Linked DNA regions of Ovis aries. The protein of the gene in region 2 interacts with the protein of the main gene of each other region in a biochemical or structural test. Links are inferred from orthologs where the notes say so. Each region holds a gene or a part of one and is shown on either strand. Other genes may lie near its edges.

Evidence for each region.
Region 1: the proteins of RRM1 (region 2) and RRM2 form a complex in vitro, tested with the Homo sapiens proteins (3 studies listed by BioGRID and IntAct). The link is inferred for Ovis aries from reciprocal best matches to the Homo sapiens genes RRM1 and RRM2.

What each region holds. Positions count from the first base shown.
Region 1 is NC_056056.1:19,306,831-19,311,326, reverse strand, and holds the start of RRM2 (ribonucleoside-diphosphate reductase subunit M2), read right to left. Parts: upstream 3,046-4,496; 5' UTR 2,995-3,045; coding exon 2,896-2,994; intron 2,802-2,895; coding exon 2,727-2,801; intron 2,379-2,726; coding exon 2,235-2,378; intron 1,952-2,234; coding exon 1,835-1,951; intron 1,338-1,834; coding exon 1,204-1,337; intron 1-1,203. UniProt on the Homo sapiens protein: Provides the precursors necessary for DNA synthesis. Catalyzes the biosynthesis of deoxyribonucleotides from the corresponding ribonucleotides. Inhibits Wnt signaling.
Region 2 is NC_056068.1:49,755,855-49,759,668, forward strand, and holds part of RRM1 (ribonucleoside-diphosphate reductase large subunit), read right to left. Parts: intron 1,515-3,814; coding exon 1,365-1,514; intron 1,165-1,364; coding exon 943-1,164; intron 1-942. UniProt on the Homo sapiens protein: Provides the precursors necessary for DNA synthesis. Catalyzes the biosynthesis of deoxyribonucleotides from the corresponding ribonucleotides.

The DNA.
Region 1 (4,496 bases), on a different chromosome or scaffold from region 2:
CAATGTTTTAGAAAAAATATCAAAAATCCATTTGGTTTATGTTAATAAAATTTAGGTATTCATTAGTTCATACTGAGCCCCACAACCTCAGTCTATCAAGAGCATTGATTGGTTTCATTATTTCAAGTTCAGGTCATACCCTCTTCCTACCTGTGCCTACTTTGGGAGTCCAGAGATTCCCCAGCCTGTCCCAGTGAGCTTGTTTTCATCAGACCTTGGGCTCCTTTTATTCTCTTTCCTTGTCAACCTGGGTCTTGCCTCTCCCTAGCTTTCAAAGCTCAACCATCAGGCCTTTCTGATCCCTCCCTTCTGGTAATCTCCTCCAATCATGCCCTACCTTTACTATCTTTTTTCATTTCTGTCTCATTTCTGTCTGCAAACATGTTCAAATCATTTTACAACCCCACCCTCCACACCCGCAGAGTTTCCTCCATCCTGCTGGCCTTCCAAGTCATCACTCATTTTCCCTCCTCACTTTCTTCCACATCATCTACAAAAGGCTATTCCTCAGCTTCACCACTTCTGTTCTACACAGGCTCTTGTCCTGAAGCTGACTTTAGTATCCAGACTACTCAAATGCCTATTTCTAGTGCTCCCCTCCTCTCCAGTCAATCCTGACAATGTTAAATAGTCCCTACGCTACTCACATTTCTTCTCGGTTACTCCCCAACATATACCATCATTTCAGGCAAATTGCTGTGTGCCTGAATTAATTTCATGGTTCACTGCCGCCTCTGTGCTATTTATTATATAATTCCTCCATTTATATTCCTAGGTCTTATTTTCTATATTATGTTGCAAGCCCCTTAAGAGGCTGGTTTTATCTTCAACTTTGTATCCTCTCCCCACTCCACCCTGTACCAGCCTCACACTGTAGGTTGACAGATTTGCCAGACGTGAAAACTATCAAACCTAAGGTTTAGCTCATCAGACAGTCTCTTGGAATGTTTTTTCAGAAGGCATTAGATTGGATGTTCATTAGTATGTTTCCAGCTCTAAAAGGATGGAGTAACCTTATAACTGTTTTTAGCAACGGACTAGTAAAGTGCATTTAGGCCTGTTCTTAAGAGCAGACATGACCATGGGTGCTAGGAATTTCTTTGACTTGCTCATTTTAGAGTCATTTTCCTATCCCTACACAATTTCAAAAAGTAACAACTAGTAATCCTAAATATGTTGGCATATCACCACCCAAATACTCACCTTTCTTTGGAATCTTTAATGTAAGTGTCAATGAGGAGACTATACATTTCAGAATGTATGTTTTCCATGGCAATTTGGAAGCCATAGAAACAACGAGCCTCGGTAATCTGAACTTCTTGGCTAAACCGCTCCACCTAGTGGTAAAACACAAAGATCAGTTTAAGGAAAATCTACCAGCAGCAGTTCAATGAACACTGGTTGCCTCACACTTCCTTTTTTGTATCATTATAAGCTAGACATAGTAATTCATTTCCATTCATTCCAAGGAGGATGCACTCAAGACATATATGTGACCAGTTATTAAAAAAAAACAACAAAGCCACAAAAAGGAGAGCAAATAGATAGTTACTAGGGTTCTGGATCTATTACTATCACTTAATATTGTCTTAACATTGTTTCTCTACAGTTGGGGGAAAAAATACCATAAGGAAGAAATAACTGCAAAGTACACTATAGAACAGAAAATGCCATAGAATATAAACCCTGGTTTACAGATAGATATATATATATATATATATACCCATTCAGTGTGCAAAATTTTAAAAGACAAAAAAGAGAATTGTTAGTTCTCTCATAAATCTTGAATAAAGGTACTTTTTCGGGGGTGAGGGGCAGATGGGGGGGAACTCACCAAGTTTTCATTTACTATGCCATCACTTGCTGCAAAGAAAGCCAGCACATGGGAAATAAAATATCTCTCCTCAGGCTTCAGGGCTTCCCAGTGCTGAATGTCCTTGGAAAGGTCCACCTGAAATACAAAAGTTCACGAAGGGTTCAAGCCGGCAGGACCCTCACACGTAGGCCTAATTGTTCAACTTTAATAAGTCTACCAGCACCACCTGATTTATATACTCCTCATTCTGCCAATTTGAACATCTCATGTCCTGAGTGAACAACCATTCCAAAGAGGGACAGAGAGGGCAGCAAAGCATATTTCAAACATGTTATATAGCCGGCCCGGCTGGAGTCTTCCTCTAGAGAGGCAATGGGCAAAGGGTCTTTTAAGTCTCCTAGTTGCTGCATCTGATTACCTCCTCAGCTGTCCAAAAGGAAGCCTCAGCTTTCTTATACATCTGCCAAATATCATGGTATTCGATAGGAAAGATGACAAAGCGGCGGGGGTTTTCTCTCAGAAGTGGTTCGTCCTCCACACTGGGGGCAGATAGCTTAGGGTTCTGTTGGGGGAGAAAAAGGGAAAAAAAAAGTTAAGTATAGGGCGAACCATGAAACTGTCATTTTTTTTTCAAGCAGAATACCTCCAATGATCAGAAATTTCATGGGGCTGAATATAAGTCGGTTGTCATACTTGGATTCTATAGGAGTTTAGGGAAATAGGAAATGTCCAGATGTGCAGTGGTGCTGGGGAGGGAACAGACTTTGGCGGGAAAGCAGCGCGCGCCCGGGAGAGGTGGGTAGGGTTTGAGAGCAGACAATGAGGCTTTGGCGCCAAGCAGCCTCCGCCCGCACCTCCTTGCCTGCAGCGCCCCCTCGCCGGGCGCCCCCACCGCAGCCCACCTACTCACCGGCTCGGAGGGCTCCTGGAAGATCCTCCTCGCGGTCTTGCTGGCCAGCACGCGGGTCCCGCTGAGGGAAGGGGGCTGCAGGGAGGCGCATGGTCAGAGGCCTGCCCGCGCCCCCACCCACCCCCCCACAGGACCCTGCCGCCCTGCCCCCGCCCCCCGCGGCGCTCACAGTGTTCTCCTTGTCTGCTAGGCTGAGCCCCTTCAGGGGCGAGAGCTGCTGCTGCTGCGGGTCAGCGATGGTGGCGAGCGGGACGCGGACGGAGAGCATGGTGGCGAGAAGGTCAGTGTGATAGGGGTTGCGCGCGAGTCCCGAGAGCCCCTGCACGGCCCCGCGGGAGAATATTTAAAGCTCCGGGCGCCGGCCCAGTGGGCGGGGACACTTCCCCATTGGCTGGATCCCGGCTGCCCCCACCCACCCCACACAGATTCAAGCGCTGCGCGGGAGCACAGGCTGACCCCCCAGTCCCTGCCCTACCGGGACCCCCCGGCACCTGCCCCTCCCAGGCCTCTGGGGGGCCGCGGGCGCCGCCGCCCGCCTCGCCGAGGGCCTAGTCGCACAAAGGCTGTAGCCCCTGCGCGCTCCGTGCGCCCTAGCGGGCGCGCAGGCTCTCGCGCGCGTCCCCGGGACGGTTTGGGATTGAATGAAGCAACGCGATTGGAGCCCGCCAGCCCGCGAGCGGGAGCGAATTCCCCACCCCCGCGGAGCCCCACCTCTCTGAAGACCTCTCTGGAACCCGGCTCTCGGTTCCGCGTAAATGGTTTTTGCAGATGAGCTTGGTACGGAGGCCCTTAAAACGCCCCTGGCTGCGAGGGAGATGTGGCTGCGGCGATCTGGATACGTGTGTGTACCTGGGTGGGGGTGCCAGGTTCCTGAGGTCCGGCAAAGGAGGGGGCTGGCCGGTGGTGACCGCCTAACGGTTAGGGCCGCGGAACTACAGGGTCCCCGGGGTGCAATGGCTGTGTCCCTTGGACACGTCATCTGTTGTCCCCTCGCTGGTGAAATGGGCTTGCAGCCATATCTAAGCTGTGGGCTTTCTAATAAAGTAAGAAGACTAAATGAGGTCATTCATGAACAATACGAAGTCCATTGTAAACCTTCAAGCTGATAACAGAGAGAGAGGGTCTTTGGTGAAGTTTCCCCCTGAAATCTCGCCCTCAACGTAGACAGTGTTTTTAAAATTGCAAACTGAGCGAAGATTCAGAGAAAAAGTTCAGAGAATGATTGAATAACTATGACTTCATTTACTGCTTTAAAAGTGAAGTCGTTCAGTTGTGTCCGACTCTTTGCGACCCCGTGGACTGTAGCCCACCAGGCTCCTCCGTCCATGGGATTTTCCAGGCAAGAGTACTGGAGTGGGTTGCCATTTCCTTCTCCAGGGGATATTCCTGACCCAGGGATCGAACCCCGGTCTCCCGCACTGCAAGCAGACGTTTTACGTCTGAGCCACCAGGGAAGCCTAAACAAGCCCATTTACTGCTTATTGGGCCTCAGAGAGCTTGAAGAGGAGGTTGAAAACCTCCATTGGGGTGATGGTGGAGACATAAACTTAGTAACATTTTAATTTTACTTTACACTTGGCCTTTCAAATTTGCCGTAGATTTTTGCCCTGCATGTGGCAAAACGCCAGGAATGACTGATGAGATCCAGGAAAGAAATGATTAACCAGGATAAGCTCTAACAGCGCACACACTCAGGGCTGTCACTGAGTGAGGCTTGGATTTTGTACAATGTCTTTTCTAGATATAATACTTTTAAGAGGTGGGGGTAGG
Region 2 (3,814 bases):
CTCTCCCTCCTACTGGCTTTGAAGACGTAAGATACCATGAGCTCTAGAACTGCAAGGAAATGAACAACCAGGAGGGCTTGGAGGACTATGCCTGAGATGAGACCACAACTTCTACTGACATCTTGACTTTGAGAGACCCAGAGATTAAGCTAACCCAAGTCTGCACTCCTGACCCATAGAAATTGATACTGAATGTATATTGTTTTAATCTGCTAAGTTTTGTTATAGAAAACTAATACCTGGGAGTTCCCTGGTGATCTAGTAGTTAAGATTCAGTGTTTTCACTACTGTGGGCTCAGGATCCCTGGTCAGGGAACTAAGATCCTACAAGCCATGCAAGGCACCGCTCCTTTCCCCACCCATCCAAAAAGGAAAAAAAAAAACAAACTAACTCAGCATTCTTCCTACGTCTTTTAGCAATAATTAGTTTTAAATAAAAGAGATTAAAATAGAATATACTTTTTACTCCAGAGAACAAAAGGACTATATGAGCTTCAGATGTCTGGTGTAACAAATTACAACTTTAGTGGCTTAAAATAACAAAAATTTGTTCTCTTGCAGTCTTGGAGGCCGGAAGCTCAAACTCAGTATGTTGGGAAGGCCCCCTCCATCCCCAGGCTCTAGAGGAGATTCTGTTCTTTGCCTCTCCCAGCTTCTAGTGGCTTCAATTCTCCTGGGCTGTGGCTACATCTCTCCAACCTCTGCCTCTATGGTTGTTGCTCCTTCTTCTCTATGTCTCTTGTAAGGACAACTGTCACTGGATTTAGGGCCCACCTAGATAATCCAGGATAATCTCAATTACATCTGCAAAGACCCTTTTCAAACCAAATAATTTAATAGTCAGAGGTCCCAGACATTAGGATGTGAACATCTTTTTGAGGGCTACCATTAAGCCTACTACAGGAACTCACAAGCAAAGAGAAATTTCATCTGTATACTTACTCCTTTGCTGACTGGAGAGCCCTCATAGGTTTCATATGGGCCATACTCCTTGGCCAGGTCACAGCTGGCTTCCAAGGCTCCATAATAAATGGTTTCAAAGATCTGCTTATTCAATAACTGGGCCTCTGGACTCTCAAAAGGGTACCTCATCAGAATAAAAGCATCTGCCAGACCTTGCACCCCAATTCCAATGGGGCGATGGCGTTTATTCGACAAGCTTGCCTTTGTGCCAACAGGTTTAGAAAAGAAAGAGATGACATTAATGAACAGTAAAACCAACATTCTGTACCAAAGGACACACTCTCAGTTTTCTCACACCATTCCAATCATTCCAATGATAACATGATGACTAGAAGACTATGATCAACTCCTTCCACCTTGGATTTCAATTATTAGCAATAAGCAGAGAAATCTATTCATACCTCTGGGACAGGGTAGTAGTTAATATCAATAATTTTATTCAAATTTCGGACAATGACTTTGGTGACTTCAGCCAACTTTGTAAAGTCATATGTGTGTTCTGATGTGACATACATATTCAGGGCCAGGGAAGCCAAGTTACAGACTGCAACCTAGAATTTGAAGAAAAAGGGTCAAGAATCACATGATTTTTATTTCACTGACACTACCCTGTAAACCTCTAACACTTGTTGACATTAAAGTTTTAGTTTCTATCTTTGATTGCTTCCTCTTCACCATTCACCTGTTCATTTCTAAATCCCAGGACCTATTCCCATGTGTGAATTGTTACATGCACCAGTGAGACAGCTTAAGATGGGGGAAGAACCGTACGCTCCATAGTACAAGGCTCTTTACCAGACGTATGTCACTGTGCTATAATTTATGTATGTCAGTAGATGTGCTCTAATACAACAGCCACTAAATAAAAACTACATGAAATTTAAAATTGTTTCTTAATTGCACTAGTTATATTTCAAGTGCTCAGTAGCCACCCAATTCAAAACATTTCTATCACTGTAAAAAGCTGTTCCAAATTACATGTCTACCTCATCCTCACTGAGACTCCAACAGCCCATAACAAAGGACCCAAGTTTGAATTTTAAAAAAGTTCTTTAGGTGATTCTTACTACATTAAGTGGTGAGTTTTTTCAGGTTAGGGATCATATCTTTTTATCCTTACATTTTCAGGACTAGCACCACCACACCTGGCATATAGCAAATGCTTAATAATACTGAATGAATATACTCCCTTCACCATTTTGATTATGACTATCCCAATCCAAACTCTCAACTCCTCTCACCTAGACTCCCTCATGCCCTTCATATCTAATCAATTCTACACATGGTGACAAAGTACCCATTTTTAAACCATAGCTCGAATCACATAAGCCTGATAAATGCAAGGGAGAAAAATAAGGCAGGAAATTGGGGCTAAGGATGGAAGGAGTGCCATATTTAAATAGAGTCATCAAGGGAGACACCACTGAGAATATGACATATGAAGAAAGAACTGAAGAAGTTAGAAAGCAAGTCACATGGCTCTCTGGGGAAAAGAGCATTTTACCACTCAAAACTCCTGCAGCAGGAGTATGCTTGATATGTTTGAGAAATGGCAATGAAATTAGAAGGGTTGGAGCACAGTGGCAAGGGGGAAAATAAGAACAGATGAGGTGGGATACTCAGTTGTGTACCATCTCACAGGGCATTATAAGGACAGAAATCAAGTAATGATACATACTACAGCATGGACAACTGACACAAAAGGCCCAATATTACATGATTCCATTCATACGGAATGCCCACAACAGACAAACCCAGAGACATAAAACAGATCAGTGTTGCCAGGGGCTGGGTGAAGAGGGGAACAGAGAGTAAATGCCAAAAGGTACAAGGTTTCTTTCTGGGGTGGTGACAATGTTCTAGAGTTAGCTATCAGTGATAGTTGTACAACCTTATGAAAATACTAATAAAAAATCATGGAATTGTATCCTTTAGAAGGGTGAAATTTATGGTATGTGACTTATATCTCAATTTTTAAAAAATGAACAAACTCTGGATGGGTTGGAAAGTCAAAGATAAGTACTGTGCAGAGAATGGTATGATCTGATTTTTTGTTTTTAAAAAAGGTCATTTTATTCTTTGTAATACAGTCTATCTTATATAACAATATAAGTATATGTCAATTTCTCCAACTGAATTGTAAGTTTCTAGAGGGCGGGGACTGAGCCACATTCATTTATATCTCAGAGCATCTAGTCCGGTGTCTTACACATGCCTGGTGGTCAGTAAACTTTGTTAAATCAAACTGCAAGCTCAGCGGTATGTTCAGCTCACTTACCATTTTCTTTGACTTTTCTTCTGTCATGTTTTTAGGTCCTAGAATTCAGGATCTGTTCCTTCCTCCTCATTTTCATAGCTTACATCCAATATCCACAGTCTGTCATCTGACTAACGCAACAATCTCTTATAAAGTAACTTCCAACTACTTCTCACACTAAGCCATTCTATAACCAGAATCAAGAGCTGTCCTTTCCATCCTAGCAATGCTATTTTCCTTTCAGAAATCTACAAGGGCTTTCCTATGTCTGAAATATGCCAGCTTTCACGTACTTTCTCTCTTCCCTCAACCACAGCCATCCCTCCATACATCAAACTTTAATGTATCTGCTCCATCACAATAAACTTACTTTCCACTCACTGCACAAAACCTATCCCTGTCTCTCATCTGTCATACTGGCAGTTCTTCCCAAATAGAAAGCTTTTTCATAAACTTCTTTTTAAAATAACCAAATCTATATCCCATTTCCAGCCTTGCCTCTTCTGTGAATGGCCTTAAAGATTTGAGATGAGAATTTTGTCTCACATTCACTGAAAGGACTCTCATGCTTACATACTTTAAACTGAATGCACA